Linked DNA regions of Coturnix japonica. The protein of the gene in region 2 purifies or fractionates together with the protein of the main gene of each other region. This does not show direct contact. Links are inferred from orthologs where the notes say so. Each region holds a gene or a part of one and is shown on either strand. Other genes may lie near its edges. The genes, in order: AKT1 and acyl-coenzyme A thioesterase THEM4-like.

Region 1 (11,309 bases), on a different chromosome or scaffold from region 2:
TGTACATCAATTATTTGTGAGCACGCAGGTGATACTCATCAGAAACCAGATTAAAAAGCAAGTAATTTCACATAACTCACTAAGACACAACCCCGAATAGAAGAAGCAGGTGGTCAAAATGAATCCAATCCAGAACTGAGACATTAGCAAGGACAGAGGGGCCTGCACCATTTGTTGCCAACGCTCTAAAACTATTTTCAAAGCAAGAAAGTCAAACTTGAATGGTCACTAGAAGCAGAAATTGACTGGTAGGAGATGCGAGAGAATGAAGTCAATCCTAGTATTTCTGCCTATGAACTTTAACTATTTATCGCTATTTCCAGTAACATTTTATGTTTTTGTGTGTTTTGTTTTTTTTTTTCTTTTTTTTCCCCTAAAAATGGCAGATATTTTTCCAAATTATGAATCTGCCATTTCTGACTGCTTATAATTATCATCTCAAAGAAACAGATACGACGTTTGCCCGAGGGAGGGAAAACACACACAAAAAAAATGACATTGGAACAAGAGACTTGTAAGAATTCTTAATTTCATAAATAAATATGTGAGAACCATATGCTGTAGAATAGAGACCAGCAACCCACAGCCACCAGTTGTCTTCGAACAAACTCCTTCAGATCCAGAGCAATTAAGACACAACTTGATGAACACAGCAGGCTTCCACTCTCCTTTCAACAATGCATGCACAACAGTCGCGCCAGCTACATCTACTTGTTGACATCAACGAGAGACCAAACCTTGCTAAAGGCTTCACTTAAGCATTGAGAGATTTGCAAAGTGTTGAGCAAAACCCCTAAGATTATCACAGCTTAGGTAAGAAAACACAGCACCAAGGTGTGAAATGCATCTAAGATGGTGCTGTAACAGAAAGTGGGGTCTATGTAGCCTACCTCTGTTTCTTCAGTTCAACAATTTCAACATGTAAAGCAATCAATCCTTTTCAGGATTTATACTTAAAAGGAAAAAGAAAGCTACGAACCACACTAGTCTGTAGAAAGGACCATCCTTTTACTAATACCAAAAAAAAGTGTGATGGTACAAAATCATAGAACCCCCAACTAACATACTCCAGGTTTATGTGTGTTAACACTTGCTACGATCACCTCCTGGCAGCCTCCTGCTCCTCACAGCCTAAACTGTCACCTCAGTCTGAACCAGTGACTACGCAGACCAAAAAACAGCAAATCAGAAACGAAACCCAAAGTTCAGAGGAACTACTTTTTTCCAGTTTCTGTCGTGCCCAAAAAGCCTGGACTGCCCTCTGCCTCCAGTTCCTATACAAGAAGCATCCCCCACTTGTTAGTGCAGCACTGCCATCAGGGATGTGTCTACCTGCACAGCTCCTTCCACCACAATGCAGCATCGGCTCCACCTTGTTCCCTCAGCAATGCCAAAGCATTTCTTTTGTAAGGGGGAACTGTTCTTAGAGCTGGGAATGCCTTCTCGCTGTGAATGTCCAAAGACACAGCTCCAACAGCAGCAAACTCACTCTATCTGGTCCTTCAAAATACACATCCAAGTTGTGCTTAATAAATGGATTTAAATAAAAGGCAATCAAATGGAGGGCTAGCAAGTAATGGTAATTTCCTGGATTAGAGGAGTAAGTTAACTACAGGTCAGTGTGTTTCTGAAGATGTGTAAACCAGAGAAAGTTCCATTTGCATAAAATCTTTAGAGAGAAGAAAAAAAAAAAAGAAGAAGAATTACTACAGCCCTCATTTATGGCCATCTAGGAATGGTTCCCAGTGAGCAGAGGGCATCTGAGGTAAGTATGACCTGGCTGCTTCAGTCTGTATCTGCACATGACTGACTACTGTCAAAAGCCAAACAACTCTGTCTTTCTCTCAGCATTCAGTTTGCTGGACTTTCAATACGCTTTCTGTAATACCTTTTTCAAGACCAAAATACTCCTCACACAGCGGAAGTGCAGTACATCACAAATAGCACAACATCAGCATTGTATCGCAGTGAATACTGATCTTATGCATACATTAATTCCTCAAAGGTTATTAACTTTCATAGGTAATGAGATAACTCACCTCCCTGCGCAATGAAACAATGAAGCCTGCTTTAAAGAGTCAGCTTAAACAGAAGGTGGAACAGAATCATCTTGCCTCTATTTGGGAGATCTCCTTTTCTCATATGCTCTCGTGCTTAGATTCACGTTCGCTTCTTCCCAAATATCCCTGAAATCAAGAGATCAATCTGTCCTACTCAATTTCCCTTCTTTTCAAGGTCAAATTTCATATTCCTTTCTATTCACACCCTAAAGCAGTGCAGGAAGGAAATTCATTCTCCCATTGACGCTGAATCTGAAACAAGCTTACGGGATGTAGGAGCATCATGGTAATGACTTCATCCTTGGGAAGGAGTAAGGCTCTGTCAGAAGATGATCAAACCCACCAGCCTCAGTCCCATCCCTGTCTCACTCAGCACAATGGCTGTGCCAGTCAGCACAGATCAGGAAGCAGGTTACAGCAAAGCACGCTCCTAAGACTATTGCTTTGCCCATCCCAGACTGGCAGTCCTAATGCCCTCATATGACACATATCCATGCATGTTCTCTTAACATGCAACAGCAGAACCATTCAAAAAAGGACCCAAGCACCCACCTACCTACCTTGGTTTCAAGGCACCGTCACAAGAACAGCAGGGGAGCAGAGGTGCGTGTTGTGGGGCCCACACATCACACCAGCAACCTGCGCTCTCTTTCTGCATCATATCCCCGCTCTCCCTTTAAGCTCACAGCCAACTGTATCCAAACGGCACAAGAGCAACAAAGTTGGGCTCCAGCAAACGTTTTAAGTAGAGCGTACGGAGCAGTATCTCCACCAGGCTCTGACCAGTGAAGTACATCTCCTGCATTATGCAAATCCTACCCAGGAGAAGCAGCGCTTCCAAAGCACTCAAGGCCTTGTGAACTCACAGCGGCTTCACACCATGACCTAGTTACTCAATCTGGGCAGACAGCTTTCAAGAGAGAACAGAAGGACCAGGTTGTTCCAGCATCTTAGCTTGCTTTACAAAAATGCATTGTGGCCCATGAGTTAGGCATGGTCACAAATATTTTGCTACTAGCTCATGTGATGTTCCATTCAGAACAACACCATGTCTAAATGAGTATTTCATGACTGTACGTGCAGCTTATCACAAGGTTTAATAATGCTTCTCTGACACTAAGAACTGCGGGAAAAAGCAGTAAGTGGAGAAAAGATCTCTAAAGCCACATCCACTTTTCCTCCAATCCGTCAGCACAATCTAGGTTTACAAAGCTGCAATTTGGAATGCCTGTGCTCTCACGTCTCCACTAATCAATAGACAGGAGGTTGATTTGGTTCAGGTGAGGGGCCAGAGTTACGACATGCAGCTGTCTGAGCTTCAACCACAACTGCAGTTTGATAGGACAAACTGAACTGCGTATTTCAAAACTAAGCAATGGCAGAAAAAGAGATCTCTTCATACTCTCCGTCAAAGACATAGGCTAAACAAAATCTTCTTTATGTTCCAAAACAAGAAGAAGGCCTTTTACAGTTTACCCTCATATAATTTAATGACTGTGCTGCTCAGAACTTCTGCACCGACTTAAGATGCATTTAATCAAATCCCGTTTCAAAGTATTTATAACGGAAGTTTTGTTCCGTCTCCCAAACAAACCAAGTCACTCATGAACCCATTTAATCCTATTTGTAATTACTTACAGGTTGTTTCTATAAGCCAGCAACGCCGGAGCTACAGGTTACTTGTGGACACTGGATCAATTCTTAGATTCGATTTACTGCTGCAGCTCAGAACCTAAAGCAGTTCTATAATGTACACAAGGAAAACCCTCCTGTTTAAAGAAAATCAAAGGTAGTTCCACGGTGCCTTTAAATCTATTAACTCAGACAAATGCTGTGGCTGTCATCAGGAAATTAGCTGCTACAAAAAAGTAATTACTAGTCATAGGCTGCGTTACGTTTATTTACCTGTAAACAAATATTCTTCTGAATTAAGTCTTAGTAACGCCCCTTTGTAACTGTATTTCAAAATGTACATCCCTCCTGGTGGCATAAGTACAGCAAACAAGAGTAAAGCAGGGATTAGCTTCTTGTATGGGTGGGATGGAAGAAAAATAAAGCAGAGAGAAAAATGGTTAAATCCTTTCCCAGGGGCAGGGGGAATCCCAATAAGGTGCAACCTGCATCTGTACCTTTGTGTCAGTAAAAACAGACAGCAAATACAGCACACACTGTTAGAATTCTGAGCTCTACAAAGAACCCAAAGGAAAAGTCCTGGAAGTCTGCAGGAACGTTTCAGCGATTGCAGAATTCCACCTGGGGGGCGGAGGGGGGTTGGCTGTAAGCAGCTCCTCGCAGCTCTGCACAACACCGCCGCAAGAACTCAAAGCAATGGGGCCCAGCAACACTGCCCAGCACCACCAACACACGGAGACTCACACCCCCGACTGTAAACACTCCCCGATCCTCAACGCAGCGCGGAGCCGCACAAAAGATAAAGGGAGAAAATGGGGGCGGGGGGAGTAGATGGAGGAACGATCGGCCACTTTCTGTGCTACACTTTGGGAAATGCCCCGTGCCTCCCTCTGCCCCAAAGCCCCTTTTTCCCTCGGAGATGCTCGGGGACGACGCGGTTGCAGCAGGCCCAGAGGGCGGCCGGGGGAGCCCCCCACCCCGCAGCACTTCCATTCCCCGCATCCCAGGGAAGCCAACAGCTTCCTGTTCGCCCCGAGCCCTCCCGCCCGGCTCCGGGCCGCAGCCCTGCCCCCCCCTACCCCGTACATACACGCACACCCCCGGCGGCCCCTCGGTGCCTCAGCCCGGGCCAGCAAAAGCCCCCGCCGCGGCCTACGCGGGTCAGCGGGCGCCCGGCGGCCGCCGCCCGGGGAAGGAGCAGAGCGGCCGCCTCGCCTCGCCTGTCCGCCCCTCCCGGCCCCGCACAATGCGCGGCGGAGCAGGCCCCGGCGCTTCCTTCCCCCGGCCCTTCCCACCCCGGGAGCGGGTCACTTACATGGCTCCGGGAGCCCAGGGTGGAGGTGATGGGAGGGCGGCGGCGGCGGCGGCAGGGGAAAGAGGCAGGGGAAGGGGAGGGAAGGGGGGAGCGAGCGAGCGGAGGAAGGGAGAGCCTGGCGGGCGGGCGCCGAGCGAAGGCCTAACTGGGCTCACGGCAGCCGCCGCCTCCTCACCATCCCCGGGCGGCGGGCGGCGGGCCGGCTCCTCCTCCCCTTCTCGCAGGCGCTCGGCCCATGGGGCTCACACGGGCTGCCGGCTCTGCCTTCCCCGCCGCTCCGCCTCGCTCCTGCCTCTGGCCGAGAGGAGGAGGCTGCCTCTCGCTCAGCAGCACCCCCGGAGCCGCAGGGCCGAGCTCCCCGCAGCCGGAGCCGGGCTCGTCCCACACGCTCTCTCTCACATCCTCCGGGTCCTACCGCCGTCGCTCCGCTTCCCGCCCGCCCCGCCGCGCTGTGGGGCCGCGCTGTGGGGCCGCCCTGCTCCGCCTCGCTGCTCCCCTCAGCCCGCCGCCTACCCGGCCCCGGGCCCCGCTTCGGGCTGCCGGCTTTGAGAGGCACCGCCGGCCTCTACAAGGGGCGTCCGGTTGCCAGAGCCTGGGTGTGGGTCACTTTATAGTTTCTCCTGGCTTTGAGGTGCGGGTGTCTGGTCTTGCCGAAGTGTTCCCAAAGTGTTGGCAATGAACTCCAAAAAGCAGGCATCAAGCACGGGGCCACGGTGGTTTCGTGGCACCTCTGCTGCTCAGAAAGCATGTGGCTCCTGTACAGCGCCAGAGCAACTTTGTGAAGCTTTCCTGAAGCCGTACAAATCTACTTAACACGCTGCAGGTTTTTCCCTGCGCCTCCTAAATCCTGATTGATTCAATAATGCGGTATCACTTAGAGGATATTCCAGTATCCTTTCCCACAGCAAGGGGGGCTGCCTGGGGACAGGGTAGCAACCCAGGCCATGAGTCTAGGTGCTGCATCTCAGCCTCCTTGCTGCTTGCTAGGCCGTTCTGCTCTCAGTACACACAAATAATACAGTCACAGAATGGCTCCTGTTGGAGGGAACCTCAAAGCACACCCAGCTCCAACACCCTGCTGTGGGCTGGCTGCCCCCCACCAGCTCAGGCTGCCCAGGGCCCCATCCAGCCTGGCCTTGGGCACCTCCAGGGATGGAGCACCCACAGCTCTCTGGGCAGCAGTGCCAGGGCCTCACCGCCCTCTTAGAGATGAATTTATTCCTAACGTCTAACCTAAATGTCCCCTGCTTTAGTTTAAAGCCCTTCCCAAACCATTACGGATTGCTGCAGCAACGAGAACTGTCGCTTGCAGCAGGGCAGTATTTTGTCAGATTTTAAGAGCTGCTCCGCTCTGAAAAACGATGTTGTGGAAATGGCTTTGACAGATTTATGATTTCTCTGTGCTTCCAGTATCAAAATTTTCCCTGTTTACTCATTAAGGGATTTTGTTTATTTTCTAATTGACAGTGCCATAAAATCTAACTGGGCCGTAAGAGTGCTTTGATTTGTTCAGAAGCATGCGATCACTGATGATCGTGTTTCTGTAATTGGAAGCTCGTTAGAATTTAGAAAATGCCACATCTTCCCACAGCTTTGCACTGTTAACAAAATAAAGGTGCGTAAAATGCATTTACATCAGTAAAGCTGGGGAACGCAGCTCTGCATTTACACAGGCAGCAAATCTATTTGACATACTAAGAGTTTTTCCTGCGGTGTCATTGGGAATGATTGTATGTTCTTACTGAAATTCACATTTTATATCCTTCTTCCAATGTGATCAACTAGAAAGTCTGTCCAAAGAATTATATCCGTCACTAATTTTCTGAGTGTCCAGTGGATCATCAGATTCTGTGTATATCAGTGCACTAAAGGAGCTTGAAAGTGGAGAAAAGAATTAGCCCTTCTTCAGGATGGAGAGAAAAAAAGCCTAAGAGTCAGATCTGCATCTGCTGTCAGTAGAAAGATTTATACTGATATCAAAATGAACAGAATGAAATGGCGGAGAACTGTCCACACCCTCAGGTAATGGAAAATAAAATCATATTTCTACATACTGTGCATTAAGTTCAGAACATGAGGCATAGAATAAAATGTAGGTAGGTGTCAGAGATATCTTTAAAAGGAAATTGTCAGCGTGCAAAGCTCAGAGCTAACAGGGCACATACAGAACTTATGAGTACAAGAATATCCACTGGTGAACTAATTTTGAGCCTTCAGCCTGCAATTATGCCTAGCAGTAAAGTGCATGTGTAAGTACTGGACTTTACTATCTGTGAGACTCTTCTGTATAGGTGGGGGGGATCTCTGGTAACAGATCTGATTGCAGGAGAGCTTCTTGCCTTCCTTGCTCCCAGGCTGCGTGGTGATCAAGGTCATTAGGACTTCCCCCTGCAAATGAAGCAGCAGTTTTAAAAATAAGGTCATACGTAAACATTGTTTTCAGTCCCGAAGAGAAGAAAATAAACCTCTGTTGTTTGCTAAAAAGGAAGTGCAATTAAAAAGAAAAAAACAATTCAACACAAAGAGATTGTTTAGATTCACACACTGTTGATTTACCGTGATGAAAGACAGGTCCTTACTAAACAGTTTGGATCCTGATATGGATCTGATATTCCCCAAATGTGAGAGGGAAGTTAGATGCAGAGACAGGAATAAGGCTTGTCTCAGACACGGTGAAGTAGTGCCAATAAAAATACCCAGGTAAAGTAGGAAGTGCCTGGTCTGCAACAAGAGCAACTTTCTATCAGCAACGAACAAAAGCAGGCCTTTTCTTCAGTGGGAACAATGAAATCACTCAATAATTGTTATAAATGCAAACAATGTGTGTTTTATCACTCAGTTATCATCAAGGAGATTATAGTCTATAAACCATAATTTTGAGGGAAGTCCCTAGATTTCCCTGGGTGCGTCCATAGATTTCATCTGTTTGCTCTCATTTCAGGATAAGGTGCATCAGGTCATCCTTGGTATTGTATCACCCTACAGTAATGAACACAGGGGCTAATGGCAGAGAACGGTTGATATCAGAAGAATCATCCCCATCCATTTTTAACAATCATTGTGGCCTTCCAATATTTGAAAGGAGCATATAAACAGGAGGGGGAATGGCTGTTTATGAGGGTGGACAGTGATAGGACAAGAGGGAATGGTCTTAAACTGAGACAGGGGAGGTTTAGGTTAGATACTGAGAGGAAGTTTTTCACACAGAGGGTGGTGACGCACTGGAACAGGTTGCCCAAGGAGGCTGTGGATGCCCCATCCCTGCAGGCATTCAAGGCCAGGTTGGATGTGGCTCTGAGCAGCCTGGTCTGGTGGTTGGCGACCCTGCACACATCAGGGGGATTGAAACTGGATGATCACTGTCGTCCTTTTCAACCCAAGCCATTCTATGGTTCTATGATTCTATGATTCGATGATTCAATGATTCTATTATATAATTTGACATAACTGTTAACGTTATTTTTAAATGTTGAAATTATTCAGCTTAGGATTTAAAAAAAAAAAAAAAAGAGAGAGAAGAAAAAAGTTTTATACCCATTCAGGCGTAAAAAGAAGGAATAGAGTATTAAGATGAAATGGAATTACTGAGTTAACCACCAGTAGAACAAGTTCTGTTCTATGATGCAAGTAGCGGCAGCACATTTATGGGCCATCAGGAAATGTGTTCCTCCCTTTTTAAAAGGTGGGGTGTACTCAAGTGGAAAGGCTATGTGACAGCCCACTGGGGTTTTTGGACTAGATATTAAATGTTTTTAAATTAATGACTCTGGTTTGGTGTAGGACAAAAATACAGCTTAATGAATATGAAAATGAAGAGTGGGTTTAGTACTGCCAAATGTAATAGAGTTGTGCTTCTGAAACTGAACAAATCCAAGGTGTATTTCTCAGCTGTGAAACAAAAGCAGGCTATCTAGAAAGAACTAATAATTATAGTCATATTGAAACGTTGCGACTTTGCTTTTTAGAAACATGTCTTGTCCATAAAAGGCTGAGTGTCAGCTAAACCGGCACCTTGAACAGCAGTGGTCTGAATTATGCTGTTTGCAAGAGCGTTTTGGGGAGCTCTTCCCAATACCTTGTTAAAACCCCTTGAAGAGGTCAGGCAGGAGACCTCTGTTCAGTTGCAAGCTCCTGTTTCCTGGTCACCAGCATGCTGAAGCTGAGGAGCCCTGGGGAGGCACAATGCGCTTCCTCCAGCTGGAGCAGGAGGAAGAAGGTGCACTTCCCAGACCTGCAGTGAGCCTGTCTGGCTGAGTCAGGAATGGTGCTGACAAACTCCAATGTGAGAGCTGTACAGACCTCTTCATTCAGAATAGTGATAGCCATAACATAGGACAGCAAACACGCTGTGGGAAACGTAAACAGGAACTGAATCGGTTTGTATAGAAAATGCACTAGTTAGATATAGAGCATATAAAAATAGCATATGTATCACTTCTGTTCCGTACACCACCACATCTGTTTTTGTTGTTACAGTGATAACCACAAGTCCTACTCTAGACCAGTCACTCTTTGGGTCTGCAGAGACACATCAGAAGACACAGTTTCTGATATTGATGGACTGAATTCCACTTCAAAATGTTGATTTCCCCCCTTGTTTGTCAAGTAACACTACCTGAGTACTTAGTTCTGGGAAAATGCTTGAGAATTCTATAATTCCAGTAACCTGTGTGAGGAAACATCACAATCCCAGCTGTATTGAGAAGGGAAAATAATCTTATGACACTGAAATAGTGAACTTATATACACCAAACCAAAAGAAAAAACAGAGTACAAACGGTCAGGTTCCTGTTGCGTTCCTGTCTCTCACATATCCATCACAGATTATGCTCTTCACTTAAAATTATGCAGTTAAGCAAAATGTGGGCATATTAACTTGAGTGCAGTATTAGTGATTGATTGCCCCTGCAGATCTCCTTGTGGAAATGCAGAAGGAGCAGGAGCACAGCTGGGTGTGGGCACAGCAAGAGGCTTTTGGAGCACTGGTGTTGGCTGTGCTGTGCTCCAGGCAGAGCCAACGCAGAGCCAGTCAATCTTTCTTATGATCTTTACAATTTCCTTGAGATCAAGAGCTTCGAGAGCCGTTAATGTTTTAGGTATTAGGGCAACAGAGTCTTCGTAGATCCTTTAACATGTACCTGAGCCATTTATCCAGTGAACAGGCAGGGTTTTTTATTGTTATTATTTGTATATTAATGCTAGAAGAGAAGGGATTTTAATTTCCTCATTGCAATTTAATGGCATCTGCATGCACATGGGAATCAGCTACAACTTGAATCACCTCATCAAAATTTTATAGTTTGAAAACTTTGAAGGGCAGCATCGTTCTGGGCTGACCTCCCAGCTCCCACAGCCGTAAAACTGCACTTAGTGATGTTTTCATCTGTATTCACACCTCATGGGTGGAAGAGATCACACTCCAATGAACCAAGGAAAAGCCAGGAGAGAGGAGAAGGATAAATTCATATCTTCATATCATCTCTTTAAAACAGAGCCCTGCCTTGTCCTTGTTTCTGCAAGACACCAGCATAAAAACAATGGGTTTGTGAAGCAACAAGAGAGGTGTTTTGGCTCTATTTATAATGCAAGAAGTTGTTCTGTGAAAGGAAAGCCCTGGTAATATAATACTATATGGTGCAGTAAGTACAAACTCCATTCAGAGTTTGTACTTTTTTTTTGCTTTTTTTTTACCATCTCTGTCATGTATTTCCTCAGTGTCTGACTGGGTTTAACCTCATGAGTCATAGAATCATAGAATGGCCTGGGTTGAAAAGGACCTCAGAGATCATCTGGTTTCAACCCTTCTGCTATTTGCAGGGTCGCCAACAACCAGACAAAGGCTGTTCAGAGCCACATCCAGCCTGGATGATACTCCTTGTCTTCAGTGAGATCACTGAGATCTTCTCTTCTGATTTCTTGCAGTCAGAAAATTCTTGAAAGCTTTGACAAGCCTTTGGCTACATCTTTGCTGTTTTTGTTAGCTGTGCCTACATTTAGGTTTGTGGCTATAGAACTCTGTGGCCAGAGCAAGTTACTCCATCCTGCTTATAGGGACAGGGCTCCGCTCCAGGGCTGAACCTCTTCCTCTCCCCCCAGCCTGAAATTTCCTGTGGGTAAGAATGTGAGATGTGTCAGATCTGCTTGAGCAGTCGTGGTCTTTGAGGAGCTGTCTTCTAGTGCAGCGAATGGTGTGGAGCTCCTGACTCCACACTGCATTGGTGAAGGGTCGTGCTTTAGATTAAGTGTAAACAGTTCTCATGGGCTCAAAGCTCGGTGCTGCTCAGAGCTTACAGAAACCATTC
Region 2 (10,178 bases):
CTATGGGACACTGCATGGGGTCACCTGTGGGGACAGCGACGGGGACAGGGGGATACGCAGACATGGGGACATCAGCGGGGATAAAGCAACAGCGGGTACGGGGAAATAGGGGACATCAATGGGACATAGGGACAGCAGTGCGGACACGGGGACACTGGTGGGCACACAGGGACACGGGGACAGCGACAGGGACACGGGGACAACGGGAGCCGAACGGAGCGATGCCCGCGGTGACACGGCGACAGACGGCGGCTGCTGCGCGGCGCCACCTGCGTGTCCCCGTCCCCGCCACCTGCGTGTCCCCGACCACATCTGAGGGCACCGGAGCGGAGCGGGGGCACCGCGGGGGGCGGGGAGCGGGGCCAGGGGCACCACCGGCCTTGCACACGCGTGTGTTGTGCACAGCACCGTGCACAGTGCACACCCAGGGCTGCAGGATCGCACCCACGCAGCTCTGTGCTCATCTGCTTGCACACCTGTGTGCCCCCTTGCACACTCACAGCTCCCCACACATTACACACTCAGTGTACACGCAGCTGCACGTTGCACGCTCACCCTCGCTCCTGTAGCACCCGCTGCTCACACACTTGCACAAACCCTTGCGTGCTCCCACGCTTGCACAGATGGATGCATCCCCCACACGTTGCACACTCAGACCATGCACACCTGCAGCACCCACACCTTGCACGCTCACTTCAGCAAGACAGCACACGCCCCCTGCTTGCACTTACACCAACACACACTTGCACATACACTCACACACCCCTTGCACGCTCCCACCCACCACGCCTCCCACCCCATTTGCACTCCCACTCCCCCACCTCACAGGCCCCTTGCACACCCCCCCCATTGCACACCCCTTCCCCTTACACAGCCCCTCCCCTTGCACACCTCCTCCCCTTTGCACACCCCCTCCCCATGCACACACCTTTCCCTTGCACATCCCTCCCCTTGCACACCTCTTCTTGCACACCCCTTCCCATGCACACCCCTTTCCCTTGCACACCCCTCCCCATGCACACCTCTTCCCCTTGCACACCCCCTCCCCTTGCATACCCCTCCCCTTACACACCCCTTCCCCTTGCACAACCCTCCCCTTGCACACCCCTTTCACTTGCACACCCCCTTCCCTTTGCACACCCCGTCCCCTTACACACCCTCTCCCTATGCACACCCCTTCCCCTTGCACACCCGTTCCCTTTGCACATCCCTGCTCCCTTACACACACCCCGTCCCTCGCACACCCCTTCCCCTTGCACACCCCTCCCCTTGCACGCCTGCCCCGTACCTCTCATTGTGGTGTGTGGGGTGCGGTGGCGCGGCCGGGCGTTATAAGGGCGCGGGGCCCCCCCGGCATCCTGCCCCCCCCCCCCATCAGCATCCTGCCCCCCCCGGCCCCACGCACTGGAAATTTCCGACTTTCCACGGTGACACGTGGGGAGGTGAGGGGGGAAATGAGGGGTCACTAAGCTGTGCTATGGGGGGGAGGATGGGATACCTGGGGGGTGGCAGTAGAGGGGGGGGTTGGACCCCCACATGTGGGCTCTGCAGTCCTCCAGTGTGTGGGGGTGGGATCCACGGCCACCCCGATGCCTGTGGGGCAGCTATAGGGCTGGCAGTGGGGTGAGCTGTAGGGTCAGGTACAGGGCTGGCAATGGGGTCAGCCATGGGGTCAGTTACAGGGCAGCCATGAGGCCATGGGGTGAGTAATGGGGCAACCATGGGGTCAGCCACGAGGCACAGCCATAGGTGAGCTATAGGGTCAGACGTGGGGTCCCCCAGGGAGGGCACAGACTTAGTGCTGCCTGAGTGCAGTGCGGTTGTGGCTGCGCCCCTGTGTACCTGTATCCCCATGTCCCATATTCCTGTGTCCCCAAGTCCCCACATCCCCAGGACCTGGTCAGATTTGGGAGCGGGGGGGGGGGGAACGGAGGGACGACCCCACTCATTCCACGGCCCCGCCCACCCAATGGCTCCGCCCATTCAGCCACAACCCGTCCCCCAACCCCTCCCACCGCACCCCTTCCTGCCCTGCAGCACGTAGGGACAGGGATGGTTATGGGGACAGGGACGGTTATGGGGACAGGGATGGTTAGGGGGACAGGGATGGTTAGGGGGTCAGGGATGGTTATGGGGACAGGGACGGTTATGGGGACAGGGATGGTTATGGGGACAGGGACGGTTATGGGGACAGGGATGGTCAGGGGATCAGGGATGGTTATGGGGCCAGGGATGGTTATGGGGACAGGGACGGTTATGGGTACAGGGATGGTTATGGGGCCAGGGAAGGTTATGGGGCCAGGGAAGGTTGTGGGGACAGGGACGGTTATGGGGCCAGGGACGGTTATGGGGCGAGGAATGGTTATGGGGACAGGGAAGGTTATGGGGACAGGGACGGTTATGGGAGCAGAAATGGTTAGGGGGCCAGGGATGGTTATGGGGCGAGGAATGGTTATGGGGACAGGGAAGGTTATAGGAACAGGGATGGTTATGGTGCCAGGGATGGTTATGGGGCCAGGGATGGTTATAGGAACAGGGACGGGGGACAGACACCATGGGGACACCACTCCGAACCCCAATAAACCACCAGAGGACACCGATGTCACTGCAGTGCCAGGCTCTGATCCCAGGAGGTGACACAGGGACGCCCCCTCCAGCATTACAGTGTCACCGCTGGGGACAGGCGGCCGGGGAGGGGGGGGAATTGTTGTCCTCCACCTGGATGAAGAGAGCTGGAAGAGAACAAGGAGTGACAGTGACACAGTGACACCGTGTGACAGCACGGCATGGGGTCACGGTGCCCTCTGCACTGTGGGGAGCCCCTGTGTCACCCCGCTCTATGGGATGGCCTCGTTGTCCCCATCCCCATCCCCATCCCCACAGCCCCTCACCAGTGGCCTCAGCGTACAGCGTGTCCCGTTGGGTGTCACACACTTGGCAGGACAGGAAGATCTTGCGCCCCTCGTGCTGCTCCACGCGGCTGTCGGCCACCACCACGGCACCCAGCGGCACCGGGCTGGGGGACAAGGAGGGGACAGAGATGGGGGCAGAAAGAGGAGTGAGGGGAGAATGGGGACAAGGACAGGGATGGGAGTGAGGACAGGGTGGGTGACGCTCACGCCAGGTAACTGATGCTCAGCTTGGCCGTCATCGCCGACATTTTGGCTGCTGCCAGAGCACACGTCCCCACTGTGGTGTCAACGAGGGTGGCAATGGCACCACCATGAGCGAAGCTGTGGGGACACAATGAGTGTGTGGGGATGGGGGTGAGGACGGGGATGGGGACATGTCACCTACCCCTGGTGGCCCTCCAGGTAGGGGCCCACCTGGCACAGGCACCGTGTGCGGCGGCCGGAGGCGTGAAGGAAGATGGCGTACTCAAAGCCAGCACCTTCTGCGTCCACATTGCGCAGGAACAGCCGCGGACCCGGACCAGGATCCACCGTCATCTGTAACACCTCTGCCAACAGGACACGGAGTGGGTGACACAATGGGGGGACACAATGGGGGGGACACAATGGGGGGGACATGGTGTGGGTGACACAATGGGGGGGACACAGTGGGGGTGGCAGAGTGTGGGCTGGTGATACAGGGGTGACAAAGTGTGGGTAATGCTGTGTCAGTAACAGGGCATGGGTGACAGTGTGGGTGACACCATGACAGTGTCACGGTGTTGGTGACGCTGTATTTGACACTGTGTTGGTGACACCATGACAGTGTCACGGTGTTGGTGACGCTGTATTTGACACTGTGTTGGTGACACCATGACAGTGTCACGGTGTTGGTGACGCTGTATTTGACACTGTGTTGGTGACACCATGACAGTGTCACGGTGTTGGTGACGCTGTATTTGACACTGTGTTGGTGACACCATGACAGTGTCACAGTGTCGCCACCATTACTGTTGTCACAGTGTGAGCGGCACCACGAGCTGAGGACGCGGTGCAGGTGACACAGACAAGGGACAATGGTGGTCACCTGGGAGGTGGTCGAGGCCGCGGCGGTAGGATGGGATACGACGCCATGAGCCGTTGGTGGTGCAGCGCAGCAGACGCTGGTACTGTTCACACATGGCCGCACTCCATCCGGCATTGGGGACAGCCAAGTCCTGTGGGGACACCGAGCACGAAGCCTGCAGGGACACACAGCAATGGGGACGGGGCGGCCGTGGCTGTGGGACATGGGGTGGTGTGGGGACAGGCACATCAATGGGGACACCGGGGGTTCGGTGGCACAGCTGTGGGATGCTGTCACCAGCGGGGTTTGATCTCCGTCCCCTCCCACCTCCCATCTGTGACCCTCTTGTGTCACCCAGGGCTGGGACATTTATGCCATGTCATCCCTATATGTCACAACACCTGTAACGTGCCTGAGCCTGTCACCACCCCGGAGTGCCCTATGTCCTCATGTCTCCACCCCATATTCCCATGTCCCCACCCCCTATCTGCATGTCACTGCCCCACGTCTCTGTATCACCTACCTTTGTCCCCATGTCACCAGCCAATATCCTCATGTCACCAAGCAATAACCCCATGTCCCCGCCCTGTGTCCCCATGTCACTGCCTGGCGTCTCCGTGTCACCTCCTGTTGTCCCCATGTCCCGCCCCATGATGTCCCGGTGCCACCACCCAACACCACCACCCCATGTTCCCATGTCACTGCTCCATGTCCCCACACCCTCATCCAATGTCCCTGTGCCCCCACTCCATGGCCCCATTTCCCCACCTGATGTCCCCATACCACTGCCTGATGCCACCACCACCTGTCCCCATGTCCCTACGATGTCCCCATGTTCCCTCAATGTCCCCACGTCCTCACAATGTCCCCATGATGTCCATGTCCCCATGATGTCCCCATGTCCCTATGGTGTCCCTATAGTGTCCCCATGCCCCCATGGTGTCCCCATGTCCCATTGATGTCCCCATGTCCCCACAATGTCCCCATGTCCCCATGATGTCCCCATATCCCTATGATGTCCCCAAGTCCCCACAATGTCCCCATGTCCCTACGATGTCCCCATGTTCCCTCAATTCCCCCATGTCCCATTGATGTCCCCATATCCCTATGGTGTCCCCATGTCCCCACAACGTCCTCATGTCCTCACAATGTCCCCATGTCCCTATGGTGTCCCCATGATGTCCCATGTCCCCATGATGTTCCCATGTCCCTATGGTGTCCCTATAGTGTCCCCATGCCCCCATTGTGTCCCCATATCCCTATGATGTCCCCATATCCCATTGATATCCCCATGTCCCATTAATGTCCCCATGTCCCATTAATGTCTCCATGTCCCCATGATGTCCCCATGTCCCCATGGTGTCCCCATATCCCCATGGTGTCCCCACGTCCCATTAATGTCCCCATATCCCATTAATGTCCCCATGTCCCCACACCCACTGACGTCCCCCCGCCCCTCACTCACCGTGGGGGTCACCCTGCCCATCCCATGTGCCACCACCGCTCGCGCCCCCGCCGCGCAGCTTCGCCACATGGCGCGAGATGACGTCACCGAGACGACGTCACTCCGGCTCTGACGTCACTCCGCCCCGACGTCACCCCTCTCCTCTGTCGCGCTGCGATGACGTCACTACGACGCGCCGGGCCCCCCGCCCCGCCCCCACCCACCGCCGTTCCGCCCCGCGACCCGCGGCCGGTACAGCGCGAATGGAGCCACGGGCCGCGATGGGGGCGGAGCCTCCGGTACTGAGGCCGCTTCCGGTGTAAGGCCCCTCCCCACGGAACCCCATAGAGACACATAGGGACACATAGGGATCCGGTGGAGATACACAGCGATGGGGGTTTGGGGTTAAGGACCCCATGGAGATGGGGACTCAGTAATGAATATTGGGATATGGGGTCAGGAACCCCACAGTGATGAGGGTTTGGGGATGAAGACCCCATGGACATGGGGACTCAGGGCTTGTTATGGGGATATGGGGATGGGAATCCTATAGTGAAGGGGGTTTAGGGATGAGGACCCCATGGACATGGGGACTTAGGGCTGACTGGGATATGGGATCAGGAACCCCACAGTGAAAGGGGTTTGGGGATGAGAACCCCACAGAGATGGGAATCGGGGCTGATTGGGGTATGGGGTTGTTAACCCTACAGTGAAGGGGGTTTGGGGATGAAGACCCCACAAAGATGGGTACTTAGGGCTGACTGGGATATGGGGATGGGAACCCCACAGTGATGGGACTCAGGGCTGATTATGGGGATATAGGGTCAGGAACCCCACAGTGAAGGGGGCTTGGGGATGAGAACCTTCGAAGGGAGATGGCAGGTTAGGCTGTGATGGGCGGGATATGGGTGGGAACCCCACAGTGAAGGGTTTGGGGATGGGAACCCACAGGAGATGGGCTTTGGTGTGATTTGGGATATGGAGATGGGAGACCCCACGTGAAGGGGGTTGGGGATGGGAACCCCATGATATGGGGATCGGTGCTGATTATGGGAGTTGGGATAGAACCCCCACAGTTGAAGGATGTGGGATGAGACCCATGGGACATGAGGACTTAGGGCTGATGGTATGGGGAGTATGGGATCAGGAAACCCCACAGTGAAGGGGGTTGGGGATGAAGGACATCAGCAGAGATGGGGGACTCGGCTGGATTTGGGAGTATGGGGATGGGAGCCCCACAGTGATGGGGGTTTGGGATGGAACCCATGGACATGGGGACTCAGGGCTGATTATGGGGATATGGACTCAGGACCTGACTAATTGGGATATTGGGGTTGGGAACCCCACCGGGAAGGGGAATTTGGGATGGAGGACCCCATGGACACGGGGACTCAGGGCTGATTATGGGGGATATGGGGATGGGACCCCACAGTGAAGGGGGTTGGGGATGGAAAGACTCAGCAGAGGATGGGACTTTCGGTTGCTGATTTAATGGGGATGATGGGCGATGGGCAGCCCCACAGTGATGGGTTGGGATGGGAACCCCACAGCAATGGGACTCGGTTGCTGATTATGGGGATATGGGGACTCAGGACTGACTAATTGGGATATGGGGTTGGGAACCCCACAGCACAGGGGGTTTGGGGATGAGAACCCCATGGACATGGGGACTCAGGGCTGATTATGGGGGATATGGGGATAGGAACCCCACAGCGAAGGGGGTTTGGGGATAGGAACCCCACAGCAATGGGACTCAGTGCTGATTATGGGGATATGGGGATGGGAACCCCACAGCGATGGGGATCTGTGCCTGGGATTCCCATGGCGATGGGGACCCGGTGCTGACGGGGATGCAGGGATGGGAACCCCCCAGTGATGACCCACCCCAAGGCAGAGGCCACAGCAGGGTCATACAAAACACTTTATTGGGGCGGCGGGGCCGTCTCTCACTTCCTCCCCTTCTGCTTCATGTGCACCACGAAGTAGTCGTTGCAGGCGATGGTCAGTCCAGCCACCAGTGAGAAGAAGCTCTGGAATCCCACTTTGCCATCCCGGCACTGGTCCAGGTCCTTCATGATCTTATCCAGAGCCATGGGGTCACGCTGGTTCTGGGGGCAGAAGCGGGTCAGCACCTCATAGTGTGGTAGGTGCTGTGACCCCACTGTGCCCCATTCCCCTCCTCCAGGTTATAGAACCCTGGGGTAGGTGTGACCCTGCTCTGTTCCCCACCGCCTCAAGGTATCCAGCTCTTATAGGGCTGTGGGGTAAGTGTGACCCCACTGTCCAACCTCTCACCTCCAGGAATCCGGGGAACTCCTTCTCCATCAGGGCACGCAGGTCCTCCTTGCTCAGGTAGTTCTTGTCACCCGCATATTTGTGGAAGGTGAACATCAGCGTCTCCATGGCGTGCTCCATTTGGGATGGCATGGTGGCTGCTGTGGGGTCTGTGGGGTCAGCAGGGTCCTGTGAGGGTCTCAGTGGGGTCTGTGGGGTCAGAAGGATACAGTGGGGTCTAAGGTGTGGGATCAGCAGAGTTGGAAGGGTCCAGTTGGGTCTCACTGGGGTCTGCGTGGTTTAGTAGAGTCTAAAGGGGCTGGAAGGGATCAGGAGGGTCTGCAGGTCTGCATGGGGAGAAGCAGGGTCAGAAGGGATTTGTGGGGTTCCATGGAGCTTCAGAGGGTCTCTGTGGGGCGTGTCAGGCATCGTGGGGTGTGTGGGGCTCCATAGGGTGTGTGGGGCTCCACAGGGGTGTGTGGGGCTCCATAGGGTGTGTGGGGCTCCACAGGGGTGTGTGGGGCTCTATAGGGTATGTGGGGCTCCATAGGGTGTGTGGGGCTCCATAGGGGTGTGTGGGGCTCCATAGGGGTGTGTGGGGCTCTATAGGGTGTGTGGGGCTCCATAGGGGTGTGTGGGGCTCCATAGGGGTGTATGAGGCTCCATAGGGGTGTATGAGGCTCCATAGGGCGTGTGGGGCTCCATAAGGGTGTATGGGGCTCTATAGGGTGTGTGGGGCTCCGTAGGGCTCTATAGGGGTATATGGGGCTCTATAGGGTGTGTGGGGCTCCATAGGGGAGTGTGGGGCTCTATAGGGAGTGTGGGGCTCCACAGGGGTGTGTGGGGCTCCACAGGATGTGTGGGGCTCCATAGGGGCGTGTGGGGCTCCATAGGGGAGTGTGGGGCTCCATAGGGGAGTGTGGGGCTCCACAGGGGTGTGTGGGGCTCCATAGGGTGTGTGGGGCTCCATAGGGGCGTGTGGGGCTCCATAGGGTGTGTGGGGCTCCATAGGGTGTGTGGGGCTCCGTGCCCTCCGTCCCATCGTGGTGACTCAGCTCCGGGCAACGGCCGCGAGGCGGGGCCGGGTGTGATGTGCTGCGGTGTCCCTCCTCTGAACCCCCCCCTCCAACACACACACCCCGCCCCGGTCTTCCCTATGGGACACCCTCGGGACCCCCCCGCCCTGGGCACACTGAGTCACGGCGCCTCCTCCCAGGGTGGGGCCCCTCCTGGATTCCCTACAATCGTGGATGGGGGGGGCACATCCCAAAGCTGCTCCCCCCCCCCCCCACTCCATTGCAGGAATGGAGACTCCACCCTGGGGGTGAGGCGTTGGGGTGTCCCTCCGGCTCAGCTTTAATGCTTTGGGGAGGGGGGGGACACACAGTTTGGTTTTGGGGACCACTCCTCTATACCTGCAAAGGGGGAAGAGGAAAGGGGGAAAAGGAAGGAGGGGGGGGTCCCACCCCAAGTGGAAAATAATGGCAGAGTCCCAACCTTTGCATTAAACTCTCCCCTGTTCCAACAGCCCCCAAATAAATAAGTAAATAAATAGAAATAAAGCTGCAGCATCTCAAGGGGGGGTGGGGGTGGATCCTAAAGTTTATGGGGTGATGGGATAGTGTATGGGAGGGGGGGGGGAAAGCAAATCTTATGGGGTGATGTGCGGGTGGAAAGCCCTCAAAGTTTATGGAGTGAAGGGGGAGGGAATGAGGGGGACCCCGAGCTTTGTGGGGTGATATGGGGTGAGGGGAAGAGCCGGGACCTCCTAAGAGGGGGGGGTGCAGGATGGGACCCCCCCCCTCCAGATGGAGGTTATGATGGAGCAGGGTTACTGCTATGGAGGGGGTGGGACGGGGGTATCCTCTATGAATAGGGCTTCTCTCTAAGGGTGTAGGGAGGTCCTCTATATAAAGGGTCCTCACCCCATTGCGGGTCAATGCCTGGAGGAGCTGGGTTCCAAGGGACCCAAATGAGGCGGGGGTCCTATGGAGAGGTCCTATGGAGGGGGGGGGTCGGTACTCACCGCACGGCGCAGACCGGGGCACTGCGGGGCGGTGGCACCGCCCGGGATAGGCACGGAGGGGGCGGGACCGCCCCGGGGGGGGGACCCGGGGGGGGCCTGGGGCTGACTCAGTCGCTCCCGCCCGCAGCGCTCAGCCTTAACCCCTTCCTGCCCGGCCACTATCAGCCCCCCCCGGCCACTATGTGTCACCTGAACGCGTGTCCCACCTGGTGGCTCCTGGGGAGGGGAGCACCGCTGGGGAGGGGGCGCCTGGGGACGAGGCCGCCTTTGGGTACAGGCCCGTCCATCCCTAAGATCAGGGCCGTTCTTAGGGACCTGGCTCAGGGATGTGGCCCTAACCCCGGGCACGGGGCTGCACTTGGGGACAGGGCCACCAAGGAGCTGTGGGCACTGAGAGCTGTGAGAAACAGCTTTGGGGACAGGAACGTACTGAGGGACCGACGTGGGTTTCTTTTGGGGACACGGCCATTACTTGTA

What was found.
Region 1: the proteins of acyl-coenzyme A thioesterase THEM4-like (region 2) and AKT1 purify together in Homo sapiens (co-immunoprecipitation; 4 studies listed by BioGRID and IntAct, with this or other methods). This does not show direct contact. The link is inferred for Coturnix japonica from reciprocal best matches to the Homo sapiens genes THEM4 and AKT1.

What each region holds. Positions count from the first base shown.
Region 1 is NC_029520.1:46,983,684-46,994,992, forward strand, and holds the start of AKT1 (RAC-alpha serine/threonine-protein kinase), read right to left. Parts: upstream 5,435-11,309; 5' UTR 5,008-5,434; intron 1-5,007. UniProt on the Homo sapiens protein: AKT1 is one of 3 closely related serine/threonine-protein kinases (AKT1, AKT2 and AKT3) called the AKT kinase, and which regulate many processes including metabolism, proliferation, cell survival, growth and angiogenesis.
Region 2 is NC_029540.1:2,460,047-2,470,224, forward strand, and holds acyl-coenzyme A thioesterase THEM4-like, read right to left. Parts: upstream 5,616-10,178; 5' UTR 5,492-5,615; coding exon 5,423-5,491; intron 4,133-5,422; coding exon 3,979-4,132; intron 3,461-3,978; coding exon 3,298-3,460; intron 3,234-3,297; coding exon 3,120-3,233; intron 3,017-3,119; coding exon 2,892-3,016; intron 2,733-2,891; coding exon 2,668-2,732; coding exon of another isoform or gene 2,660-2,667; 3' UTR 2,603-2,659; downstream 1-2,602. Other genes in the region: RORC (nuclear receptor ROR-gamma), read right to left, coding at 1,499-1,538; S100A10 (protein S100-A10), read right to left, coding at 7,348-7,509, 7,697-7,828. UniProt on the Homo sapiens protein: Has acyl-CoA thioesterase activity towards medium and long-chain (C14 to C18) fatty acyl-CoA substrates, and probably plays a role in mitochondrial fatty acid metabolism. Plays a role in the apoptotic process, possibly via its regulation of AKT1 activity.